4 linked regions of the Lytechinus pictus genome follow. The main gene of each other region encodes a partner of the protein of the gene in region 3 in a complex. Links are inferred from orthologs where the notes say so. Each region holds a gene or a part of one and is shown on either strand. Other genes may lie near its edges.

The links.
Region 1: eukaryotic translation initiation factor 3 subunit D-like (region 3) and eukaryotic translation initiation factor 3 subunit J-like share a complex: the UniProt entries of both Drosophila melanogaster proteins name them as parts of the eukaryotic translation initiation factor 3 (eIF-3) complex. The link is inferred for Lytechinus pictus from reciprocal best matches to the Drosophila melanogaster genes eIF3d1 and eIF3j.
Region 2: eukaryotic translation initiation factor 3 subunit D-like (region 3) and eukaryotic translation initiation factor 3 subunit E-like share a complex: the UniProt entries of both Drosophila melanogaster proteins name them as parts of the eukaryotic translation initiation factor 3 (eIF-3) complex. The link is inferred for Lytechinus pictus from reciprocal best matches to the Drosophila melanogaster genes eIF3d1 and eIF3e.
Region 4: eukaryotic translation initiation factor 3 subunit D-like (region 3) and eukaryotic translation initiation factor 3 subunit A-like share a complex: the UniProt entries of both Drosophila melanogaster proteins name them as parts of the eukaryotic translation initiation factor 3 (eIF-3) complex. The link is inferred for Lytechinus pictus from reciprocal best matches to the Drosophila melanogaster genes eIF3d1 and eIF3a.

Annotation. Positions count from the first base shown.
Region 1 is NC_087249.1:11,753,737-11,760,620, reverse strand, and holds the start of eukaryotic translation initiation factor 3 subunit J-like, read right to left. Parts: upstream 3,010-6,884; 5' UTR 2,941-3,009; coding exon 2,928-2,940; intron 2,808-2,927; coding exon 2,719-2,807; intron 1,398-2,718; coding exon 1,304-1,397; intron 646-1,303; coding exon 554-645; intron 1-553. UniProt on the Drosophila melanogaster protein: Component of the eukaryotic translation initiation factor 3 (eIF-3) complex, which is involved in protein synthesis of a specialized repertoire of mRNAs and, together with other initiation factors, stimulates binding of mRNA and methionyl-tRNAi to the 40S ribosome.
Region 2 is NC_087261.1:10,574,151-10,581,193, reverse strand, and holds the start of eukaryotic translation initiation factor 3 subunit E-like, read right to left. Parts: upstream 3,014-7,043; 5' UTR 2,991-3,013; coding exon 2,901-2,990; intron 1-2,900. UniProt on the Drosophila melanogaster protein: Component of the eukaryotic translation initiation factor 3 (eIF-3) complex, which is involved in protein synthesis of a specialized repertoire of mRNAs and, together with other initiation factors, stimulates binding of mRNA and methionyl-tRNAi to the 40S ribosome.
Region 3 is NC_087254.1:36,520,560-36,527,557, forward strand, and holds the start of eukaryotic translation initiation factor 3 subunit D-like, read right to left. Parts: upstream 3,031-6,998; 5' UTR 2,828-3,030; coding exon 2,702-2,827; intron 1-2,701. UniProt on the Drosophila melanogaster protein: mRNA cap-binding component of the eukaryotic translation initiation factor 3 (eIF-3) complex, which is involved in protein synthesis of a specialized repertoire of mRNAs and, together with other initiation factors, stimulates binding of mRNA and methionyl-tRNAi to the 40S ribosome.
Region 4 is NC_087256.1:10,923,821-10,930,700, reverse strand, and holds the start of eukaryotic translation initiation factor 3 subunit A-like, read left to right. Parts: upstream 1-3,860; 5' UTR 3,861-3,962; coding exon 3,963-4,052; intron 4,053-4,786; coding exon 4,787-4,926; intron 4,927-5,296; coding exon 5,297-5,460; intron 5,461-6,880. UniProt on the Drosophila melanogaster protein: RNA-binding component of the eukaryotic translation initiation factor 3 (eIF-3) complex, which is involved in protein synthesis of a specialized repertoire of mRNAs and, together with other initiation factors, stimulates binding of mRNA and methionyl-tRNAi to the 40S ribosome.

The sequences.
Region 1 (6,884 bases), on a different chromosome or scaffold from region 3:
GTGCGACTTAAGTCATACTTAAATCTTTGTGAAACACCCCCCAGGGCATCCAACCAAATAACAGACCTAGGGGATATTGCAAAAAAAATATTTCCAAGTAATTGCTAATATTCTTTTGTAATTCACAAGTGATTTATCAATTTTAGCTGCAGCAAATCAGATTACACTGCTTGTTTCGAGACAGATTAGCAATCAATTACAAATTCGCTATTAATTTCAAAATTTAGGATTTAAGAAGCAGATTGCATATTTACAATTAATTGTAAGACATAGGATTATTTTAAGGACTGGAAATAGACTTGCAATTGATCACAAGTTTCGTGCAACGCCCCCATTGGCTGGTTAGATCATTTGAAAGACCCAGAGATGGTTGGACTAATCAGTAGTAGACCAAATAGGTATAGCCAAGATGGTGTTAGACAATCTGGGAATTAGACCATATAAGTCAATTGGTCAAGTGAATACAATCGTATACATTGGAGTTGGTAAAAAGAATTCAATCTGAATATGGCAGGAGATAAAGAGAGAGCGCGAGAATCCATGCAATATTTACCTTTTCAGCTTCCTTTAGCTTCTCTTTCCTCTTTTCAGCTTTCCTTTGCAATGCTTTTTCTAAATTGTTCTTCTTCTTTTTGACTTGAAATGCTGTGGAATATATAAATAACTCATTATAATCACTAACGACCATTGTGTGACCATAATAAACACAACATTCAAATTTCAAAATGTCTAAATCATCTTTCTTCCAAGTTATAAACTGCTGAAAAAAAAATACAATTATAATAACAATGCTTCAAGAGGGACAGCAAAATTCATTAACATCAAGAGCATTTTACCCTCAAATTACAAGATGTGGCAGTGAACTTAGTATCGAGAAATGAACTGGTTAAGACTTTGAAGAGATTGAAATTTGTATCATTATACCAAGCTCCCATTATATCTGCCAGACCAAGTGAAAATTTAGCAAAGATTGTTGTTTTCATTGTCAAAATTCACTGTCTGGTCCGATTTCAACAGTATAATAAGCTTTTGTTATAAAGATTAGAAATGAATGAATAATTTGACTATTAGCCAACAAGAGCAGAACTTCAACCAGTGCCATTTGCGACGGTGCAGCATAGAGCTTTAACCTCAGACTTATACCAAAAGCAATTGACAGCAGAAGCAAGTGTTCTAAAAGGCTTCATCCTTTACAAATTCGATATCTCCGCATTTCTCTATATTTTTTCTGATATCCTAAGTAGGATTTTTAACAATTTTGAGGATTGGTGGGATTATTGGCTGACATAGCCTGATAAGTTACCTCCTCCATCTCCAGAAGTCGCTGTCTGCTCTGTAGAACCTGCCTCCTTTTTCTCCTCTTTCTCCTCCTCCTCATCTGATGCAGCCCAGTCATCCTAGAAAACAAAAATAATAATCAGCTTCAATTTCTGTTCTTCCAAGACCAAGTTAGACCTCATTAGACACGATTACTATCCATGACTGAATTGTGCAACAACAACAAAAAATCAATAAATTTTCCATTACTTTTGGGGTTTTATTTTCTTGAATTTCATAAGTTGGTGCCTGTGGCAAAGAAGGCCAATCCTACAGCACTGACCTCATTGGTCGACAATGACGCATACACAGGGGGTACATTTTTAGAAAGTCAGCACCGCGTTTTTTTTTTTTTTACTGGTTTAAATAAATTCAATTCAATGAATTTCCAGTGATATTATAATTTTCTTTTAAGAAGAAACTTTGAGTAAACTTAGTCACTTTTTTAGATCTAGATTAGAATCTACTGTTTATCAGTAGAAGCGCACAGCCAATATGGGAGACTCTCCAATACGGGAGACAATCTCCTATATTGCAGACTTGCTTTGCAAAAGAACAAAACAACACCAACAAAAGCATAATTTTTTCCACCCAAAATTTTGTCTCACTGAGGTCAGAATCAAAGCCCGTTTGTTTTGTGTGTGGATGACAACAAAAATCCTTATTAAAACAAAATTAGACTGAATTTTTAAAGTAGTGGGTGAAAAGGGGTAATTTTTCATGAGGAACATTTTTATTTGCCACAAACGCAACGTAATCCTTTGGCAGCAAATGTAAACGAAGGAAATTGGTCTCCCAGACTCTAAAATTGGATTCTCAAATTCTTTACAAAAGTCTCTGATATTGGAGATAATCTCTCTCGTGGGAGATAGTCTCCCATAATTGGCCGTGCCCGTGCGCCTCTACTGTTTATTGCAGTCTCGATATTGCAAATTATATCCAACTCCAAGCCAAGCCAGCTTAATCTATTAGTCTACTATTTACTAAAAGTACGAAGTCTAACTCTAAGTTAAACCTAAAATTTTGGTTAGGGCCTAACGTTAAACATCTGTGGATTTTGTACAAGTCAATGGTGCTTGAATTTGAAATTCTGGCTAACATTGTCATTATAATACTCTCGACTCTGCAGCTTTTCTCCCCAAAAAAATTCATGACTTTTTTCAACCTTTTATTTTGAGGTCCCAAAAATGTATAAAAAAAGGATAAAACTAAAAGATCATATACATATAAACATACAATTAAACTAATCAAATTGGCGTAGTGATGTGATTCTATATATAAGTAAAAGAAATAAAATTAAAGCCACTGAGTGACACTGTTTCAAACTCGCCACTAAAATAAAATGCACTCCGACACATACACAACACAAGTCAAAAGGAGTGGGGCTAAGCAAAATCTCACCTTCACATCTTCTTCCTCATCCTCTCCTTCCCATTTATCACCGGCAGTCGCCTTGGCGAAACCCGCATCAGGATCAAAATCGTCGTCCTCTGATTAAAAAAGAATCATAAGATAAATGTAAGAAATAAATGTACTATTTTGCACTGGAATTACTCAAATCAATATTTCACTATAATTTTCTGACATATGTCACTGCACATGTTACTCACCCCAGTCGGCCATATTTACATATTGGGCGGGTGCGAGGCTAGCTAGCTGCGAGCGCGCTATAATGCGAGCTTACGCGCGTGAATGCGATGGGTGCGATGACTTGCCTGAGAGCAATTTGTGTGGGCCGGGAGAAACTCCCCCCCCCCCCCCCCCCGCAGGGGCGGATTTGATCTACCATTTTCCAATATAGAGGGGGTGCTAACAAAATGTACATTTTCCCTCTCGATTGCTTGTAAAGCTAAAATCTGAGGGCATTATTCATAAAGACTGTAATTGAATACATTACGCCTAACGTTACCGAATTAGGTCGTGGCGGGTCGTACTAAAGAAAATAATGTGAGCGCGAAGTGCGAGCTGAATTTTATGTTTTTTCATGAACTTAGACTTTAGACTTTTGTAACCATTGGCAGGATACGAGCAAGAATTTATATATCTTTACTTATTTATTTATATTTATTTAAGTTATAAAAGCCAATAAACTCAACTTTCAAAATAATGTTACCAACAGGGTTGGGCTCAATCACAATATAATTGATCAATTAGGTAATTAATTACATTTTTTTTAAATTGTATTTGAAATTTTGAAAGGGAAAGTGATTGAAAAAAATGTAATTGACTTGAAATACTGTCATTACTTTTAATTACATTCAATTACTTGACAATAAACTTATTCAATTTATTATTTGATTTCATGTATGACATTTTTCATGTCAACTTTTTTTCAGCATCAAAGAGTGTAATAGGCAGAATCTGTGCTCTTTAACATAAACCTTCATCTTGTCAGTTTCTCTGTAACTTATAAAGTATGTTGAAATAGGTGGTGCTAGTAGTACATACAGAGTACAAATTGATTTTATTCATGACTTTTATAGAAAGTAATTGAAATTGTAAATGTAATTGACAAAAGTAATTGCTGATTGTAAGTGAAAACTAATTGAACATTATTTTCTACAATTACCCAATTGTAATTGTAATTGAAGAAAGATGAGCCAAACCCTGGATACAAAATAATTGGAAAACTATTCCTACTTAGGGTGAGCATTGCCCATTTAACAAAGGGTATATGACTAAGGCTGAGCAGGAATTACATGTTTCTTTCAGTTTTTGAGAGGCAATTCCTTAGCGGGGTCCTTTGGAAATTGCAGTTGAGGGTGTTGTGATTGAGACCAGGGGGGGGGGGCCACTTCCATTGACGAGTGGATACCATGCGCGACCACGGGGTCTTGAAAAGCACACTAAACACGTATTTTCCATATTCTGAAAATGCACCCCTTAACAAGTATTGGAAACAAAACGATACTATTAGCAAGTATTCCCTGAAATCATGGACCTATTCGTAATAGGTCCATGCTGAAATGAACCCCTAAACAAGTACATAGATATTTTATTGTTATATGTCACGCGTCCGTCGGTCGTCGGTTTTACCTTTAGACACCATAATTTTGGTTTAGTACGGCCCCACCTTCCACACCTCGCGCAAATCGGACTCTAAACACGTAGTGTTGGGGCAAAAATGACATCCTTTATAGAACATTTTGATTTTGTTTTATCATCCCCGCATATTTGACCCTAAACACGTATATTTTTCCGAGCGAAATAGATACCCTTTTTTCAATATTTTTGTGTTTTTGACACCCTTATCACGTTACGTACGTAACGTGCCCTATCTTGAAAAAGACACCCTTTTTGCGTGTTTTTTTGGTCGCGCATGGTATCCACTCGTCAATGTAAGTGCCCCCCCCCCCCCCCCGGGGGATTGAGATCAGTTTAATTTTCACCTTGCACGAGTTAATATGAATTGCAATCTTTGGTGTAGGATTTTTTTTATTTATATCTCAGCGCATGTAATAAAGGGGGAAATAGTACTTACTGAGTCGGGGGGTGGAGTAGGTTGATGGGATAAGAATATTTAGTAACCCAAAAAGAAACAAAGAATGGGAAAGTGAAAGAAGAAAAAGGGGGAAGGGGTACACATGGTTTTTCATTATTTTTTTTTTTTCATACAAAAATTTTGCTTCCGCGCGGGAAAATTACGAAATCGCTTTTTCCATTTTTTTTCTGCACGCCTTTTCTGCCGGCGGTTTATTGTGTACGACTCGTGAATTGGCCAGAAAGTATAACGGCCTCTAATCCAACCTTCAGCTGACACGGTTTTCTTGTCAGGATGCCACCGTGCCTGACCGTCAGTTGCGTTCGTTTGGTCAAAGTATATGACCGTTGCTGATGGTTTATGGAAAAGACTGATTAACAACCATCACCAACCGTCGTCTCTGGTTTCTCCAGTCAGATCATCCGTCGATTGCAATCGATCACCTCTCTCGTCTCATTTCAGTCAATCGGACATCCGTCGACCATTCAGTCACCAACATTCGTTCCGTACACCAATCATTTGTTCCTTTATAAGGCTGCGTTTATGCGACCTCAAGCCAGAATCATGATTTGAATCATGATTCAAAACAAAAACATGAATCACAATATCACAGAATCAGCGTTTAGACGACCTTCATTCCAATGCTGTTTCTCCTCAGATTCGGGCCAATCCAGTGCGCATCACTAGTGCGCAGTTTGACAGAGGAAGTTTTTCGCACGTGTTTTTGCTCTCGAAAAATCTTTTGCTTCCAGAATTCAGTCTATACCTCATTTTGTTTACTTCTATCATATAGGGTCCATATGTTTCTATTCATCTCGTTAGTTTATCCAAAATGGTGTTTGGAAGTGAATTTCAGCGTAGATCCAATTTAATATTGATACTGTATACTCAACAACAACTGAGATCATTGTCTGTCCAGTTAATTCATTTACTAGAACTTGAAGTTGAAGACATGACCAAAAAATGAAAAGTAGTGGACGATGCGATGACCAACACAGAACTTGAACATGACAAGAAATGCATGCGTAGTACGTAATCATGTACATACAATGAGCATATAGAGCGCCTTGAGCTTGGCAAGAGTCAAACCGAAAGTAGCCCGACACAACAGTGAGGTCATAGAATCATGATTGTAATCACGATATCGTTTATTCGAACATTTTCGTACGTGATTCTGCAGAAACGTCTTTCCAAACGCCCCTTTTATCGTGTTTCATGTTTGTGATTCTAATCATGATTATATTCAATTTCGACTAAACGCAATCGTGATTCTGCAGAATCATGATTTGAATCATGATTCAGATCATGATTCTAGGGTAAAAAAGTGGCGGATAAACGCACCCTAACACTCATAAGAACGTAGTCTAGAGTGTAGGTTCAATGCTTGATATCTTTACCTTTAATTTCTCAAAGATAAATCATTGTACAGAGCAAAATGATATACAAGAGATGAAGGGCAGCATTTGCACTACGGTAAAGGGCCGTAACACAAATCGTCCTTAATGCTCATCGACTCCTCGTATTTATGCATTTTTTAACACTTCGATAAAACAGTTACTAAAGATGACTTCAACAACTACAATAACCTAATTAACTTTGCTAATCAACCAGCTTTCTCGAATAAAACAACTGGATAATGCTTAGGCAACTTTGCTAATAATAAATTAATCAAAAGGTTTCATGACAACTCCAACATGTTTATAAAATGTGCGATTTTTGCTAATTTTCGTTAAATCATAGAACGTCTACACATACGATTTCCACATAGTCTACGTTTACAGACCCTATAAGCTCTCTATGACATTAAATCGGAAACATAGTTCGTTACACGACTCCCTCCTCTCTCGAGCTTGGTCCCCAAGCTAATTAATAACAAACTGTCAACTACTAAACAGAAGGTAACGAAAAACTCCAAAACAACATAATTTCAACTTTAAGTTTCGAAACACAATAAAGACTTTGTCATATAGTTTCTTGTAACAGGTAATTCAGTACAACTGTTTTTATACAATGCAAAGCAACACTGAAATTATGCATTGATTAAAGTCCACAAAAGTCAATATTTTTGACGTCCGGTATCCGTAAA
Region 2 (7,043 bases), on a different chromosome or scaffold from region 3:
AAAAGAAAAAAACTGAAAACAAATGAATTAAATGATTAATGAATAAATATAAATACATTTATTTATCAATATAAATACATTTATTTATCAATATAAATATTGATTTGATTTGATTTATTGATTTCCGTTTCACAACATAAGCATGATAAATATAACAAAACAAGGTGGAAAATACTGCAAGACGTAATAAAATATATATAACATAATCTTAGATTTAAGGAGCACAATTCAATGAATAAAATTACCTAATATGACAATTGTATTTTAAAGTAAAAACGGAGGGTCTTGCCAAAAAAAAGCAAAGCTTGTACAAAAGGCAAGCCCCTAAATAAACTTAGTTTCATTACAAAAAAAAACACTGGGTCGTAATGATATATAGAACTTTAAAAATAAATACAAACAATTTTGGTGCATTTTACGAGAAAAAAAACTGATGTGAGAAATATTTTGTTTTATAGCATTAGGGAGAGAGGGGGAATGTGAGGGGGAGAAGAGGGGAGGGACAGAGAAATGCAGTGTACATAACATAGAAAGAAATCGGGCAACAGGAGCAGGTACTTTGGCTAGTTGCAATTTTAAGAAGAAAAAAGTAATAACAAATAATATACATGTATATACGAGTGTATACGAGCGCATATAATACACGATAGACACAAAAACCGAGTATAAATAAATCAGTTATTCAGCATGATCTGCTTGCAACGAGTATTGCAAAATTAACATTTTTTTCAGTTTGCGTTTAAAAATATTTATATTAGGGGATTCTTTAAAATCTTGAGGCAGAGAGTTCCAGTAGGCGGGCCCGGAAAAGACAAATGAATTCTTTGCAAATAAAGTTCTTGTTAATGGGAGATGATAATATTGTCGTTGCCTTGTTGGGTAATACATTTATACATTTTTACATTTATTAATCAATATATTTATCAATATCAACATTTATTTATCAATATAAATACATATTAATCAATCAAAATAATAGATTGATAAATAAATAAACGAAATTTCACACATGAAAATAATTAAAAACGAATGATACTCTGACTCTCTACCAGTCACAAAAGAAAAAAAACTGAAAACAAATAAATTAAATGATTAATGAATAACTATAAATAGATTTATTAATCAATATAAATACATTAATTAATCAATTAAAATAGATTGATAAATAAATTAAATGAGCTTCCACAAATAAAAAGAATTAAAAACGAATAACTCTGACTCTCTCTATAACAAAAAAAAGAAAGAAAACAAATGACTTAAATGATTAATGAATAAATATAAATACATTAATTAATAGATTGAGAAATAAATAAATGAAATTTTACACATAAAAATAATTAAAAACGAATGATACCTCTGACTCTCTACATCACAAAAGAAAAAAAAAATGAAAACAAATAAATCAAATGATTAATGAATAAATACAAATAAATCCACAAATAAATTTCTGAAGAAGTATTAAATCATTCTCTCCTTAATTGTTTATTTGGAAAATAAGGAGCCCCCCGCCCCTTACAGCGCCGCTCATGATATTCTTTCCTTGTATATTTGGAAAATAAATTGGAGGCTCCCCCTACAGCGCCGCCCATGATAATTCTCACCGGCCGGGGAAACAAGCCCCACGACCACGTTATTTTCCATTATATAACAGTGTAAGGGGCCTCGATAACGAGTATACTACTATAGTCGTCATCCGAGCCCCACACACGTGCGAATGCTGGGAAAAGCGCATTGGACGGGGCCAGTTTCGCGACTATCTTAGGATGCAAGCTTAATATATACTCGTGATATAGGCCCCGCTACTGTGTTGGAGTGTCTGAAGTGCCGTAGTGCGGGGCCTATATAACGGTTATAGTACTATACTCGTGAAACAGGCCCCGCAAACGGACATTCTAAGCCATTCAACACAGCAGCGGGGCCTATATCACGAGTATATATAGTGAGCTGAAGTTAGCAACCTAGATATTGAGGTAGTATAATCGATTACAAGTTTTTCTCGAGCGGGGCCTATATCACGATTTTGCCGAGAGTTTTACTTTTTAGAATGCATTTTTCGTAAATAACGTCTCGTGCACAAGCTACCACAGACTACGAGCCGGGCTGCAGCGGCAAATTTAAAATTGAATATTAATTTAAGGAGGTCGTTCGAAACTAGCTATTCATCGACCATTTTACGTGACAACTAGCTTCGGGGAAGTTAGGGGGCTGAATCGGTTATCTCTGTCCCTTTCTGGTCTCACAAAGGCCATAGTTTGACACTTAATATCTTCACTTTTTGGAAACCTTTGGAACTGGGAGTTGGTATGTTTGCTTTGATTTTGTTTTCTCTTTCATGTCATTGTAAATAAAAATGTGAAGACGTTCAAATAAAAATTTTAGGATTTCAATTTGACCGGCCTATAGTACTAGTAGCCTAAACTTCCCCGAAAAAATGTGCCATATTTTCCCCTAAATTAGCCTGTTTTGTGCTGACACATTTCAGTGTGGCTTCACTGCCTTCAGTCTTCACTCTTCACTTCAGACACCTTATCTCTATCTACTCTCTAGACTCGTCTCCATTTCAAAACACTGCATGCTCAACAAACATACACAGTCATACATAAGGATCTCTTTCATTTTGTGAAAAGATTTTTTAGATTAAAAATATCATGCAGAATAGCTTAACATGTCATGTTGAATCTTGGGCAGTTACTATTCAAATTGAGATCATGATTTATCATATCATCTAGCCTAAGGCTAAGCCAGGGCCTACCATTGCCTACGCAAAAGTGAACACGTCGGACTGTCGAATCCCACATGGGGGCACACAGTTGCGACCAGATGGCACGAAATTCATGATAATTACAACGATTATACAATCCGTATAAGTTTGAGACACCATCTTTGTACATAATACTCACTTCTTGTACTGACAAAAACTCTAACAACGGAAAAACAAGATGTCTATCCAAATATTGTCCGATTTTCGAAGTCAGGTCGAATTCCGCCATCTTGACAGATTCCTTCAATGGATGTGCGCGCGCAGCGCCGCGCCCGCGCGTTCAATCAAAGATCTCCGGCTCCGCCGGACATAGACGATACAAGCTGCGCGCTGGCTACTGGCGACTAATAGCGTGCGATTAAAAAGAAGGAAGAAAACGGCATAAATATTTACCTTCACAAGAACGAATAAAAAAGGGAAATATAATTTTTAAAGAGGATTTCAGCCCCGGCTTCAACCTGAGATTTTACTGACGGATGGTCTATTATCACTTGGTCTAATCATCAGATGGGCTAACAACATTCGGGCTAAACCCACTTAGTCCAATTCTCTTTTGGTCTAATGAGTGACCACTTGGTCTAATAGCCAATTGGTCTAATGACCACTTGGTCTAATAGCCACTTGGTCTAATTTTCATTTGGTCTAATGTATTTTATTGTCACTTGGTCTAATTGCATTTGGTCTAATACCAGTTCGTCTAATAGTCGGTTAGTCTAATACTAGTTGGTCTAATACCAGTTGGTCTAATCCTCACTTGGTCCATTATTCATTTGGTCTAATGTGCAGTTGGTCTAATGTTTAGTTGGTCTAATTTCCATTTCGGCTAATTTCCACTTGGTCTAATTTCCACTTCGGCTAATTTCCACTTGGTCTAATTTCCAGATAGTCTAACATTCATTTCGTCTACATGCCATTTGGTCTAATTCGTAAAGTCTGCATGGTGACTTGTTTTCAATTTTCTGGTGAAATTTTTAAAGTTACTTTCCGCGCGCCGGCTTCGAATCTTCACATGTGCGCCCCTCGATATTGGAGTACAGTTAGAGTGACGTATATTTCGTCTCCAACTGAATTTTGAAAATATGGGGATTTTCGAAAGCCTGTGGGGATGAAAAAAATTATTTGGGGATTATACAAACTTTGGGGATTTTTTGTCTGTTTCAGGGGATTTTTGAAGGTTTTGGTGAAAAACAATCAAATTTGCTATTTTTCTGTAAAATAACGCTAATATAGAGGTGAAAAAATATTATTTTTATTTATTCACCTCTATGTATACGATCTACTGTAGATAGAAACGATGGCTTAACCCAATCATGGTTCCCAACTTTTCAAGAAAACAAAAATCCCTGATATCTCTGATGAAGTTAAAAAATTCCTTGATAATTATTTAAACCCATTCCCAGTTTCACATGTTTTCGAAGTTGTTGCAGTGAATTACATGTATTATTTTTATTTTAGTTATGCATGTATAATGTACCAGTAGGCCTATACTTGTATTGTAGTAGAAGAGGCTACACTAAAAAAAAAACCAACACCATATCATGTCATTCAATGAATGTTGTTTTAAAATACAACAAAATATAACAGACTGTCATGCTTTCGACTTTTGGGCCGATCAAAATTCCCTGATTTTGCCCTCATTTGAGACATTTTTCCCGGATTTGAGGCAATCCCTGACTGGAAAAACGTTTTAAAAATCCCTGATTTCCCTAATGGGGTGGGAACCTTGCCAATCCATTTAAGGAAGAGGCGAAGAAGTAGAACAAAAAACAGAATGAGAAGATATATAAGATGAATGACTGTTGTGGTGATAACTGATAAAGGTCTGCAAGCGTAGACTACATGTATACTATGTTATTACACGTCAGAATTATGTGGCTGCTACCAAGATGGTCGCAGTTATGTTGTCGCAGCTAACCCAATATACCTGTATAGTGTTATCAAACTATATCTAACTTGTCTGTTATTTGCCTCCAAACTAAATATTGAAATAACTAAACAAATGTTCATAACAAAATTACATGATCTAATGACTTTGTAAGTTTTGGTTCCCCCAAACTGCATAACTAGGACATCAAGTTCAAGTATCGTCCGTAATGGTGCATAACAATGATTTAAAAGAGGCATATATATGTTTACCAGATACGTATCCACACAATCAATTACATTATATTTTCGTTCCTTTCTTCATAATAATTTTATTCTGATGAAACCCCGCCATTCGACCATTATAAGCTACAAGGTCCCCAACTTATTGTTCTGTAAATGTGCATGCGGTGATGTAATGATTATGAGTATGATATAATTTTTATCATCATCTTATAATCGATATACAGGCCTAATTATGAGAATTATTTTATTAGAATAATTAGTTTGATGAGCGACTATCTTGTCATCGATAGTCCTTCACGGTGAGGTTTTGCGCCCACCAGCTCTACCCCTCCAGATCCTGGCGATATGTATTAACTGATGCATTGTATTTATCCATTACGTACCATATTTGCTAATTCTAGATAAATAAATAATAATGAATGATGCTATATTAGAATAAATAGACATTAGACCAAGTGTGAATTAGACCAAATGAAAATTAGACCAAGTGACGATTAGCCGAACTGGTCATTAGACCAAGTGGTCTTTAGACCATTTGGCTATTAGACCAAGTGGTCATTAGACCAATTGGATATTAGACCAAGTGGAAATTAGACTAAATGGAAATTAGACCAAGTGGAAATTAGACCAAACGGTCATTAGACCATGTGGCAATTAGACAAAATGATAATTAGACCAAGTGGAAATTAGCCAAAGTGGAAATTAGACCAAGTGGTGTTAGACTAACTGGAAATTAGACTAAATGATTTTAGCCCAACTGCTCATTAGACCAATTGGATATTAGACCAAGTGGGAATTAGAGGAATTGGATATTAGACCAAGTGGAAATTAGCCCAACTGGTTATTAGCCAAAATGGAAATTAGACGAATAGGATATTAGACCAAGTGGGAATTAGACGAATTGGATATTAGACAAACTGGTTGTAGACGAAATGAGTTTAGACTATGTGAAGTTGGACGAACTGATAAGTAGATGATGTGGTATTAGACCATCCGATAATTCACCGATAAATTTGGTTTGGTTAATTAATTAAATATAGAGTTTTTTCTAATGGATTATATTTATCATTAGTCAGCACACCCACTTGTGAACTTTGAGACAAATTAAGCGCCCTATAAAGCGCCCTAAATGTTATTATGATTTATTATTATCATTATTATTATTTTTATTATTATTATTGTTTATTATCATCATTATTATTATTATTAACTAATAGTTATTATTGTAAATAAAAATATCTTTTAATTTGATAATTTTATTTATTATGCAAGCTCCATACGGGGATCATTCGCCAATGGGGGGGAATTACTTTCACCAACTTCCTAATATACTCAGTATAAATGAATGATACGTACATGTATATGTGCCGTGGTTGAGACCCCCAGCCTAAATTTCCGGTCCAGAGCATCAGCAATTCAGAAAACCATAGAAATTCCCATTTTCCCGTCGCGGAGACCCTCGCATTGATACGAGTGGAAACATTTTTCAATAGACGTTAATACGGAATATTCTTTGTTGTTTTTTTGTAATCATAACTGTGATTGGTATCTAACTATACCTGAACAATGAATACGAGCGCGAAGCGCGAGCTGAAAATCATTGATCTTTTGACCTGAAAAAGGAACATTTATCATACTAAATTATTACAGGGAATCACTGATGCAGGGATCTCATTAAATAAATCGATCTAATACGAGGGCGAAGCGCGAACCTGTTTTTTTATTCAACATTAAGATCTTAAGACTGAATATTAATTCTAAAAAATTAATGCGAGCTCGAAGCGCGAGCCGAAAATCATTCAGACCTGAAATCGGGACATTTTAGGGAGAAGTAAGTCCCACGATGCGGATCTATAACTAAGCAATCAATGCAGGCACGAGCAATGAGCTGATACTTACTTGAAAGGGTACAATTTTAAAGAGTATTTTATGAATTCATTAACTTCCTATACGTATCTCATCGGCGTAATGCGTGCGCGAAGCGCGAGCTGATTTTGTTGGTATATCCTCTCCTAAAAAGAGACGATTGTTTGTAAAAATTAATGAAGAGAGTTTTGTATCTATACCTTATCAAATAAAATCGTGATTATAAGTCTTTGTTGATTAAACAAGAAAAAAATAGGATTTTTAGAACTGTTTGTAAGAATTAATAAAGAGTAGCATAATTATCAAA
Region 3 (6,998 bases):
GTCCTATCTCACCCTTTACTCTCCCGACTCCCATGAACACATTGCTGAGATCCAAATGATAAAGTTGAAATGCTGCCAAAAAAGTGTAATTTGTGTTCACTCATGCATTAAAGTTCAATTCAATAATTTAAAACATTTGCTTAAGCAACCAAGACTGGTCACGGCTGATCATTAATTTATCACAACGCCCTTAACTTTGCAAGTTCGAAAGGATTTGCCTCTCAAAAACTGACATAAATTGGAAGGCTAATTCCAGCCCACCCTAATTTTCATACCCTTTGTTTCAGTGGGCAGTGCTCGCTCAAGCATGAATAGTTTTCCAACTTTTTGGTGTCATTTGAAAGTTGACTTTATTGGCTTTCCACATATGTAAGTCTTTTTCCCCAAAGTGCTACATTTTTTATTTGGCAGCCATTTCAAAAGTGTATAGTTTTTTTTGGGACGCACTGTATATTACGAAAATCTGATGTACCCTGATTATTTGCAAGTATTAAGAAGAGGAATTATGACCTCTCTTTTGACTCAAAAAGACCGATTTCCACATGAATTAATACACATAAAAACACATAGGCAAGTACATCACAGTCCCACGTGTGCATTTGTATGTATGTTGATACTTGGTTTTTTTTTAAGCTGTGTATTTTCTAGCCAAAAACAAACAAGACAGTTTCTTTCTTTCTTGTTTATAAATGACTTCTTAAACCACTCTTGAGAGAGTAAATACTTTGGGAAGGCAAGGCAATTCATTGATATGAAATGTGATTTTTTTTCCCAACATTTTGGCAAATATAGGGAAGGACTTTTCTCACACTTTTTTTCCAGATATAAATTTTGCCGTTTTCTTTTTTTTTTCCTTTCATTTTTTTTTGACAGTGGTTAAACCATTTATACCCCTTCCCATTGAATATGCCTGATTAAAAAATATGTTTCTACTGAAAATAAAATAATACAAACTAAAGGATATAAAAATGAAAATGTGCCATTCCCAAAAAGTAAGTGAAAATTATTTGCTTGGCTTTTAATTATATTCCAGTCAGAATAGACTGTTGCCACAGCTGTTAAAAAATATATGTAATGGCTTCTTAATTTTCCACTTTTCCCCATTTTTTTATTAACTGTTTTATTAATTTTTCTTTCATTTTCTTTCCTTTTTTCTCTCTAATTTTTTTCTTTTCTTTTTTCCCCTTCATTTTCTTTCTTTTGTTTTATTTCACTAATTTCTTTTATTATTTTTGTTTTCTTTTTGTAATATACTTTTTGAAAATTATTTTCGTTTGTTTCTCCCTTTTATGCATTGTTCTAAATTTGCAGCATATTTTTCTGTGATTTTCTCCTTCTATAATATGCTGCAAAAGAGAAAACAGAAATAAACTGGATTTGGGGCATGCATAATCTAGGTTTTAGGATTCAAAGAGGAAGGAAGGAAAAACCATTGATTTGTACATCTAACTGAATTTGCTATGCACTATTTATTTACTTTACCATTAGCTCTATACAGAGATTTAAAAAAAAAGTCCACACAACCTGCGAACAATACAATTCATTTATTCTCTTTCAATCATTTCATTTATACAACGATAGAAACATTTATAAATTAGCAAAGTAAAATAACAGCAAACAAGGTTTACATACAAGATGTATAAAGTAAAAGTAACATATAGTGGTAGTGGCTGCAGAATTAATATTTCAGAAGTTTGTTTTATTCATTTTTAATGTTTTTCTTTATATTTTTCGGGCCACCAAACTTTAATATCGGGCCACCAAAAAAAATTATTTGATGGTTTTGGTGGCCCGAACGGGCCACCACCAAAAAAAGTTAATGTGGAGCCTTGAAGTATATGTCAAATTTTTTTAAAAAGACATCATCATGGGGCCTGTTGCATGAAAGGGTCTTTCGTAGAACCATTCTACGTAAGAACGAGATATCGCTCAACTGTTTCACAAAGCCGATTTGGGCGATACGAAGAATGGTCCTTGGAAAGACACCTCCAGACATGTCCTACGTAGGCATGATCTTCTTTGGACACCACCCACCTATTGTTCTTCCCCAACGTTACCCGACGCATGCGTCTGTAACGTTGGCGAAGAACAATAGGAAACAAGATGGCGGCGAAAACATCGGGCAAGTCTCTTCCGTCTTTACACAACATTTCTCTCATTTTTTTGATGAATTCTTGTTCAAAAATAACAACGAGAGCGTAGAAATGTCGGAAATGAAGTTTTATCCCATGTACATGATTTAGGGCTAGATCTTTTAGAAAGAAAGTAGAAATTTCGGGGGCGAAAGTTTCAGGTTTTTTGGTGGTACACGCAAAAGTATATGACGGAAGCCCTGGCTTCGTACTATGAGAGTGACCTTACGTTAGTAAATGATTTTTACTCTCTAGAAGCCGCCTGGCTACCTAGGACTCCTAGGAGTAGGAGTAGTAGTACTAGTAGGACGTTCCTACGTATCGCTCATCTCGTCGTCATGGTCGTGCAACAGGCCAATGGAGTCCTCGACTTCTCAAGACTACTCATAGTCATAGTCATACACGCATCATCGACGACGTACATTCGGTAGTCGGCCCCTACCGTACCGTACCATACCGTACACATTCTACACAACATATGGGAAACTGGTAGTGGTACGCCTATGCAATAATGCATGAATGAATAGAGAGGCATTCCACTGGCACTACTATCATGTACTAGTAATTACCTTTCCGAGGCGATCTCCCTTTGAAAATGGTTGGTATGGAATATCTTTGAATTGCTTTGGAATCGTACAAGGACCCCATCCTGTTGGATTATCCTGTATCTCTGGAGGAATGAATCGGGCGCTCATTTTTATGATATTTCGGTGAGAGTCCTTCTTTTTTCCCGGTCGCCGCACACATGCACATGCAGCCAAATATCACACTAAAGTGACCCGATCATGAGATGGCGCTATTAAACCCCAGTGCCACAGAGATACGATCTTACGTATACGTAAGCTCCCGTAAGCTCCTGTACACAGCCAACATGGCTGCCGGTGGACAATTTGAAGGTTGATTTTGGAGGGTCAATGTTTTATTCATGAGAATGACGTCAAAATACGCATAATGCACTTGTATGATTGGATTAAACGCTAATGTTTTATTCATGTACTCATGCATTAAACATTTTTTTCCGTCCCACAATTCCCTACGATATCTGTGCGAAGTGTCGTTCTTTTGGACTCTGCGAATTTGAAGTTTCTGAAACGAAATAGCTAGACTAATTATCTGTTTATAGAATTGATGTTCGAAATCATGGTTTCTGAGTGAACTTCATTGGAGCGGAAAATCTTGGAGGGAACATCAATACTATTCTAATGACATTCCATAGGAATAAAAGTAAGTTACGCTCATTTTCATGTTTTGATCTCACTTGCAAATTGTAATGTGTTTGCCGGGGTTCGGGGCTCATCCTGTATTACGCACTATGTAAACCTCAATTTCAATATTTCTTTTGCCTGACTTCCAAATAAGTGTGATCATTGAGTTTCTCAAAAATACTATATCTAGGGAGTAGGGGTCTATAGTTTGTCGTAGATCTAGACATTCATCGGAATGCTTCATGTAGGTCCAAAGTAAACCTTTATTTCAGTTTTATTGTGATTAGACAATTATCAGGGGTAGATGTAACCCAGAGAGCTCCCGCCCGCGCAGCGGGCGGGAGCCCAGAAGCTTACCGTGTATTTTACCATTGTCACCGGACTAGGGTGATTTATGGTCTAAATATTTCTCCAAATGAATTGTGAAAACAGAAAGTATACAATTACCACGATTATATGGATGAAGGTCTAACGAGTGGCAGATTCCTGACATCTGGGCACAGTCTGGAACCTCAAAAAAACGAAAAGTTCTCTCCTTCTACCCCGTCTCGATCGGCCATTTTTGTTAAAAATCACTAACAAAATGGCCGATCGAGACTGGGTAGAAGGAGAAAACTTTTCGTTTTTTTGAGGTTCCAGACTGTGCCCAGATGTCAGGAATCTGCCACTCGTTAGACCTTCATCCATATAATCGTGGTAATTGTATACTTTCCGTTTTCACAATTCATTTGGAGAAATATTTAGACCATAAATCACCCTAGTCCGGTGACAATGGTAAAATACACGGTAAGCTTCTGGGCTCCCGCCCGCTGCGCGGGCGGGAGCTCTCTGGGTTAGGGTAGATGTGGACTTGTTTCCGACCTCCTGTTTTTTAGTAACGACAAAGGTCGACAAACTGTCGATTTTAGGCCTATTCAAATTTAGGTCAATGATATGTAGGGATATGGTCAGAGCGGGATCCGGCCTTTGATATCGCCGGTGCTAGCCGAGCGAGATTGTCGATGTAGTCATGGGGTATGAAAATAGCGGGGACGTATGGTGGCCCTGAAGGGACATCGCATATAGACCAAATCGCGAATATTCACGACGAAATTGGCGACGAAATTCACGACGTCGCCAATTTCGTCGTGAATTTCGTCGTCAATTTGAATATTCACGACGAAATTGGCGACGAAATTCACGACATCGTGAATTTCGTCGCCAATTTCGTCGCGAATTATTCACGACGAAATTCACGACGTCGCCAATTTCGTCGCCAATTTAAATATTGACGACGAAATTCACGACGAAATTCGCGACATCGTAAATTTCGTCGCGAATTATTCACGACGAAATTCACGACGTCGTGAATTTCGTCGCCAATTTCGTCGTGAATTTGTTTTGTTTGCCTGGGCGGTATGCGGGTTGAAACCAATTCGTCTGCTGCTAATTCCTCCACTGCAGGGTCGACCTACATTCATTTACTCTAATGCAATTCTGGCCATTAACTTTTCGCCTAACAACCATATGGTCCAATAACCATTTGGTCCAGTCATCACTTCGTCTATAATCACCAGTTCGTCTATGACCATTTCGTCTCACAACTAGTTGGTCTAATATCAATTTTATTTTCCTTAATTTCGCCCAATTAACACTTAGTTCAATTAGACAAAATGGCATATGGAATAAATGGCAATTGGACCAACTTGGTTATTAGACAAACTTGGCAGTTAGACCATGTGGATAGTGGACGAACTGATGGTAGACCAAATGAAAGCTGACGAGTTGGCATTAGACCAATTGAATAAAAAAACATTGAAACGACAGAACGATGTCCACTGCTATCCATATGCATAGGCGGATCCAGGGGGAGGGGGCCGAGGGGCCCGTCCCGTCCCCCCCCCCTATTGGCGGAGCAAAGAAAGGAAATAAGGAAAGAAAGCAAAAAAGGAGGGAAAAGAGAGTAGAAAAAAGAAGAGGAGGAGACGAGTGAATAAAGTAAGATGAGGGGAAGACATGGAAATAAAAAGAATATTTCATGTCACTTCATAAAAATTTCGCTCGTGCTTCGCGCTCACATTGCCTGTTAGGTGATTTTCATAATCTTGTTCAATATGGAGTTTAGATATCAAGTTTGGAAGTCAATATACAAAACATATTTCATCTCGAAAATCAAACTTTTATTATTTTGCGTGATTTACAAATTGATTTTTAAAAAGTGCTCTGTAAATATGACAGTTTTATGGTCTGAATATTAACATTTCCCGCTCGCGCTGCGCGCCCGCAAATTTCGATTTATCAGGTACCTATTATTTTCGTGTATTCCATAAAGTTTTCAAAATATCCCTTTTCAGGTCTGATTGTCAAAACGTATCAGCCAGCGCTACACGCCCGCATTTTGATCGTATGTCTCAATATTGATTATACAATCCCCTTTTCTTGACAATGCACAGATTTAGGCTCGCAATTTGCGCTCGCATTAATTGTTAAAATATATTAACTGATGCATCCTATTTATAATTACAAATGCATGAAATGTCCAGTTTTCAGGCCATCGACTTCACGCCCTCATTAAGCATTAATGAATAAGATATTAATTTAATAATTGAATTGTCCCTTTTGTTTCATCTTGCGCTTAGCAAGAGGAATAGGAAGACATTCATCATTTTTATATGATGAGATGTCCTATATGTCCTAAGGATGTACCGGTCCTATGTCAAAACTCAAAGAATTATAATGAAAAAAATCAGCTCTGTGTGATCCATATCCACTTTACAATTTTCTTACAAAGTGCTTGAAATATAGAATATCAAATAGTTTAAGCTCGCGCTTCGTGCTCGCTTTGATTTTCATGATAAAAGATGTATTTAGAATGCCTAGATTCTAGGTCTAAATATGAAACACGCGCGCGCATGTTTATTCAGATATTCAACTTGTTCTCTATTTAAATCATTATCCAGTTTCAGATCACAATATAAACAATTTTCTGCTCGCACTTTGTGCTTGCATCATTAATGTAGGAATTACTCATTCTTTTCCAAATTTACAAAACATGAATAGAGTGTCCCGTGTTAAGGTCTAATCTCGATTTTTTTCCACTCGCGCTTCGCACTCGCATCAATTGTTTAGTTATATAGCTATCCTGTTCACGATTACAAAAATTGATTAAAATGTTCCATTCTTTATGTAGAAATGTCAAAATTTTTCAGCTCGCGTTTCGCGCTCGCATCAATTGTTTATTATATACCTATTCTGTTTAAGTTACAAAAAGTCCTTAGAATTTCCATTTTTAAGTAAAAATTTCAAAAAATTCAGCTCGTGCATCGCGCTCGCATTATTTGATTTTTAAAATATATAACGTCTTCATGACTAACTGCATGCTGTCTTTAACAGGTACCTATTCCACCAGTTCATTTCTGCTCGCGCTTCGCGTTTGTAGTAATTATTTATTTGCATACACATCTTTTTTAGGAAAACAAACATTGCCCAGAATGTTCAAATTATAGGAAAAAATACATAAGATTTCCAAAAAAAAATTAGCTCGCGCTTCGCGCTCACATTATATAAATAAGGATTATGATATTATATATTTATATTGATTTATAAGAATAAAGCTAAGAAGACCACCCCTTCACAGAAACCAAAAATCATCTTCGAGCGGCCGATCGGGGAAAATATGGCT
Region 4 (6,880 bases), on a different chromosome or scaffold from region 3:
AAAACTAGAACACATGTCAGCACGCTCAGCATACACTTCATGAACTCGTGGTGAACTTCTTGGTTCTTGACCAGAGAAAAATTCAAGCACTTCAGATCTCATCTCAAGAAAGTTCTTACTCTTTGAAGACATTTCAATTCGTCTTAACTCTCGTTGTACCCACTTCTCTTTAGCTCCACAAACGAAACGTTCTTTCAGCGAGCTATCTTTGAGCCTCTTCAAAGCATTCTTATCTTCTGTACTGGAAGCAGCTTTCTCCATGCGATCGTACAACCTCATCAAGGCCCGGCTGTAGTCGGCCAAACTCTCGCCCTCTTGTTGTCGTCTATTGTAGAAGGATTGACTTAGTGAAGGTACCGACTCTGACGCTGCAAAGAGTGACTGTAAAACGTTGATAATTTGATCACTATCCTTTCGCACATCCTCATCTCGGCATAGAACCTCTTCTTTGGCAACTCCAGCCAAATGATCGACAAGCGACTGTGCTTTTGCCTCTCCAGACAACTGATAGTGAGTAGTATAACTGGAAAACTCTTCAAGCCACTCTTCCAGAGATAAGTCTCCAGCGACTTTAGGTGGACCCTTAAATTTAGACAATTTCACTGGTGGGGGAGCACGTTGAATATTCAAGCCTTGCAGTGCCCGGGTAAGGACTGACACCATTTCCTCTACAGACTGTGACATCGTTACAAGGGCTATATAATTCTACAAAGGGGAGAGAAGGTCTATGCACATGTATAAAGTGGTGTAAATCAATGAACAATCAAAAATTAACTCTACTCATAGTTATCTGAGATTACCTAAACCACCTTTAACTCATTACCAAATGTTCATGTGTTGACCATTCCCTCTCCGAAGTAAGAACGTTAAAGTCTCTTGGATGTGTAGAACTTCACTGCCATCATCCTAGTTGGTCGCTGACCTCTGGACGATAGACCTCAATCGCTGACTTTGGGGTTGATCGCTGACATCGGAACACAGCCATGATCTGATGATCCCATCCTCGTCGCCATTTTGTCGGGGGGTGGGTTGAGTTAGCCAATTAAGACCGTAACGGAGCAAACTTTACAGATGCTACGGGACACCAGATCTGAGCTTCTTTGACTTTATTGAGGTTTGCCAAAACCAACAAAATGAAAGGAGTAACAAAACAACAACCCCAAAATCAGAGGCTACTGGTGGTTACACACCACCTACATCACCCAGGATACCACAAAGGAGTAGCAGCTTCTACCATTATTCGAAATCTCAAGACTCGAGGAGGATCAAATGAGTCGGACCAGATCAGCCCTTTCCCAGGCCTGCTTCGATTGCAGTCCGACCTGCACCAGAACCAGGACGTGCAATAATCTACCTAACGTAAAATGCCAACAAGCAGTGGAGTCGCGGAACCACCCAAAAAAATATCATTCTGCTAAGGATTTGTTAAACTTTGAAACAGCCAATATGAAAAAGATACAAGTATATATATTGTTTTCACTCAATATTACGAGAAAACAAATCCTTAAAACCCTTAAAATACATAACAAGGATTAGAAAATAACTAGAATTATATTTTTGGAGCGTACATACATCGATCATCCTAACCCTATCCAGTGATCCGGCCGATCAAGAGAATTCCAAACACCTGTACGAAAATAATATGCAAATTAGGAACATTCTTCTCAAGCAACCAAATGAAAATTCCACTTTCCGACATAATTATGAGGGGAGCAATAAAAAGCTCTCCCTGTAGAACTTTTAAGGAGAGCGGTAGAGGAGCACTGCAAAAAGCTCTTCTTCAACATACAAGGGGAGCTTTTTGTCCAATTAACAAAACGGATGGAGGAAATATAGGCCTATGTACTAAGTTACAATTAACAACCAAAGGAAGGAAACAATCGAATATGCAATATTCATAATTGTTTTACAATGTTTTGTAATTAGATTGTGTGTTATAAAACCTGTTTGAGTGAGGTTTTGAGTGACTTTTGACTATGGCTAAAAGTTAAGTCACTGACAAATTTTTCGTCAAATTTCGGGGGCTACTTTTTGCATTTCGGGGGCTCTTTTTAAATGCAACTTTTTTGTATTTTGAGGAATACCTGTTCACTTATTAATGAATTATTACTTTTTGTTTAATATTGTATGATTTTTTAAGTTATTTTTTCATGATGCTTAGAATCTTGGATGTGGATGTGTGCGTGTGTGTGTGACTGTGAGTTGGACTTGGATATAAATGAATTCAATATTTAATTTCTACTCCGTCTATTCCAGTACAATACCCTGTACTCGGCCATGTACATGTAATATAGAGGCCCACATACCCTAACTTTTCCTGAAGTTCTTTGAAAATGCAGATCTCCATGAAAATTGCATTTCTCTATGGGGGAGTCTAAATTTGGTGAGAATGTATTCATTAAGATCTTAAATATACATGACAATTAAGAAATCAAACTTTATTGGCAGTTTTGAATAATGTACCTGAAATGTAAACTCTGTCTGAAACAGAAAATCACCATCATTGAGGCCTTTACTGAGCGAATTGTACCCCAGAGCTCTGGCAGAGAGACAGAGCTCCGACTGGCTAGTGTAGTAGTACATGCACCAATGCGTTCGTGCGTGAGCCTGCCGCCGGCCTTGTTAAAAATAGATAGAGCTTTGTTTGATGATTTATTGTCTGATATTTACCTCATCCCCTAGAAAAAGAAAACAAATGATTTTTTAGTTATAATTAATAAATAAGGTAACTTATTTTGGATGTTAATAGGCCGTTTTGAAAAGCAAAGCCGAATGACAACTCACCAATGCTAGGTTACTAGACTCTGGGATTTATTTCCTGTGTAATTCGAATTATTTTATCACAGAATTATCTGTAGGGGAAACATGTGCATTCGAAATTGCACATGGTGGTAGTCATAATGGACCCATATACAGGCAACTGTTTCCCGACCGTTGCGTAGATTTTTTTGGTCATACCTGGTTCCATGTGTATGGAAATACATGGTACAGAAAAAAAGACGCAACTTCAGAATTTTTTTATTTATTTTTTATTTTTTTCATTCTTCATAAAAACAAATACACTGTATAAAAGTCAATACATATAAGTAAAAAACAATGATGAACATATAGAAAAAATAACATAAGAGAACAAAGAAAACAATTTATGTCGAATTGAAACTGCGCTCGCTATTTTCAAGGCTTATTCATGATTTTGAGTGTGGATTTTGGATGATTTTTAAATGGTAAGCGGAGCTCGAGCATATGGCGCTAGTGGGCCGTTTAGTTGTTATCACTCGGCAATAATTTCGGGGGCGACATTCAGATTTGATGTCCCCGAAAGCATGATTTTAGGTGATTTTGAGGGCGACTTCAGGCATTTTCGCTTAGCGATCGCGAGGCGCGCTATTAATCGCGCTACCTAAAATGGATTAAGGCGCGCATGTAGCGCACGATCGCTCTCGCGCGCCTTAAAATTGAGTCCCTGAAAAAATAATATGTATGTCTGAAGAATACTATTACATGCCTTTATGAAATAATTTTTTTGAGTGTCTTTTTGAAAAAGTGACATTTACGTCACTTTATGTATTGAAGAAAATGCAGGTGTCAAATAACCTACCATAATTACATTTTTTAAAGTGGCAGATACAAAGTCAGCTCTGCTTTTTACAACTTAAAAAGATTCATAACTTTCTTACTGTTTTCAACTTTCACCCTTTTATTTTAAAATTCCCCATCAAATCAACTTTCCACTTTGGCTGGGACATAATTTGTGTAACTACTTTGGTTGCTTCATAATGAATGATAATGCTTTCATTTATCTAACAAAGAAATAATCTTTGTACTGATAAAGATGAGTACTGATTCTGTTTGTCAACTCAGAGTTCATTGATGTCGGCAAGAAGCAGCCAGCCTTGGATGCCCTCTATGATGTCATCAAGAGTAAGCGACATCGAACATGGCAGAAGATACACGAACCAATCATGGAGAAGTATCTGGAGCTCTGCGTTGACCTACGTAAGAGCCACATTGCCAAAGAGGGCCTCTACCAGTACAAGATCATTTGTCAACAGGTAGGCATACTTTTGTGGCAGAAATGCTTTGGGGGCTCCTGAATGTGTTGTAGATGTTCTTGACGGTTCCATGACATTTGCTCTGCTCTAAATTCCACGCACTAATCAAATGACCAACTTCAACCCTTGGTTTAACACTATACATGTGCCCTACCCTAAACCTCACATAAAACCCTATTGTAACCCTAACCCTACATCTTAGATGAAATTAAGCCTGGAACAATTGTCGCCAGACCAAATGTTGTGCCACCGCTCTTGACACCATTTTCACTGATTTTTCTTTGATAATAGAACGTCAAAACACCAATCTAAAGTTCGTAAATAAATATTCAAGTTTTGATTTTGGGTACTGCTAGTACATTGTAGAAATAAGAAAAACACTGATCAGCTATTGTTTATTAACTTTTGTTCACATTATGTGGCAAATTTGTGAACTAATCTGACACCAATTGCTCAAGCTGAAGTGAATGATAAGAAATTGTTTCTTTCTTAGATATTTCCTTTTTTTTTTTCATGTGTAATCAAGAAATTTCATAGGTGAGGGAGCATTTCATCAACCCTTGTTGTCCAATAAGTTGTCAGATCTGACGTCTTTCCTTGAATTTGATTAGCTGAGAAGCACTGTTACTATGGTTTTTGTCATTTAAAACAGGACTTATTGGATAAAATATATGACAAGTCCTCTTGTGAAATGCTCTGTTGATTTTAACTCCTTGTTATGTTCTTGCTGTTAGGTGAATGTCAAGTCTTTGGAAGATGTCGTGAGGAAATACTTGAAGCTTGCTGAAGTCAAGACGGAGGAGGCTAGGAAGGCTTCTGAGGCTGTTGTTGGGGTCGATGTTGACGATCTTGATAATCTTACCACCCCAGAAAGGTAAGAAGAGAATTTTTAAAGAATTGTTGTTTCTTACCTTCAGTGTTGGGAAAAGTTTAACTGTTGAAGTTCAGGATTTGACAGTTGACCCATAGCATAAATAATTTATTCAATTCCAAATAAAGCATAAGTCTCGAGATCAGAATCACTTCCTTTGATTAAACACAAAGGTGTAGTTCATTTGCATTTAATTCCAACTTTATATGATAAGCATGCCCGATTTGACTTGATTTTGGGACTAACGCTCGATTTGCAGTTGAATGTAAGATCCTTGCAATGCTCCATTAGTAAGTGTCAACTGATGTTATAGGCATCCCACCAGTGGGTCCTATTATTGACTTGTTCTCCCACTGTTTTTGTCTTCCTGCAGTCTTCTCCTAAGTGCTGTAAGTGGAGAGGATGCCCAGGCCAGGAGTGACCGTGTGGTGTTGATACCATGGGTCAAGTTTCTCTGGGAGTCTTACAGACAGTGCTTGGACCTGCTGAGGAACAACAACAGACTGGAGAAGCTCTACCAGGACGTGGCCCAGGATGGTAGGTCCAGGATCAGGGTCAGAGATGGCACCATGATTCCAAAAATGTGGAATGCTACAGTCACACCAATGAAACCGACTCCAGACCGTTAAAAGCTGTTTTGAATTGCACGTCATGACGCCAGACCGTTAAAAGCTGTTTTGAATTGCACGTCATGACGCCAGACCGTTAAAAGCTGTTTTGAATTGCACGTCATGACGCCAGACCGTTAAAAGCTGTTTTGAATTGCACGTCATGACGCCAGACCGTTAAAAGCTGTTTTGAATTGCACGTCATGACGCCAGACCGTTAAAAGCTGTTTTGAATTGCACGTCATGACTCCAGACCGTTCAAAGCTGTTTTGAATTGCACGTCATGACGCCAGACCGTTAAAAGCTGTTTTGAATTGCACGTCATGACGCCAGACCGTTAAAAGCTGTTTTGAATTGCACGTCATGACGCCAGACCGTTAAAAGCTGTTTTGAATTGCACGTCATGACGCCAGACCGTTAAAAGCTGTTTTGAATTGCACGTCATGACGCCAGACCGTTAAAAGCTGTTTTGAATTGCACGTCATGACGCCAGACCGTTAAAAGCTGTTTTGAATTGCACGTCATGACGCCAGACCGTTAAAAGCTGTTTTGAATTGCACGTCATGACGCCAGACCGTTAAAAGCTGTTTTGAATTGCACGTCATGACGCCAGACCGTTAAAAGCTGTTTTGAATTGCACGTCATGACGCCAGACCGTTAAAAGCTGTTTTGAATTGCACGTCATGACGCCAGACCGTTAAAAGCTGTTTTGAATTGCACGTCATGACGCCAGACCGTTCAAAGCTGTTTTGAATTGCACGTCATGACGCCAGACCGTTAAAAGCTGTTTTGAATTGCACGTCATGACGCCAGACCGTTCAAAGCTGTTTTGAATTGCACGTCATGACGCCAGACCGTTAAAAGCTGTTTTGAATTGCACGTCATGACGCCAGACCGTTAAAAGCTGTTTTGAATTGCACGTCATGACGCCAGACCGTTAAAAGCTGTTTTGAATTGCACGTCATGACGCCAGACCGTTAAAAGCTGTTTTGAATTGCACGTCATGACGCCAGACCGTTAAAAGCTGTTTTGAATTGCACGTCATGACGCCAGACCGTTAAAAGCTGTTTTGAATTGCACGTCATGACGCCAGACCGTTAAAAGCTGTTTTGAATTGCACGTCATGACGCCAGACCGTTAAAAGCTGTTTTGAATTGCACGTCATGACGCCAGACCGTTAAAAGCTGTTTTGAATTGCACGTCATGACGCCAGACCGTTAAAAGCTGTTTTGAATTGCACGTCATGACGCCAGACCGTTCAAAGCTGTTTTGAATTGCATGTCATGACGCCAGACCGTTAAAAGCTGTTTTGAATTGCACGTCATGACGCCAGACCGTTAAAAGCTGTT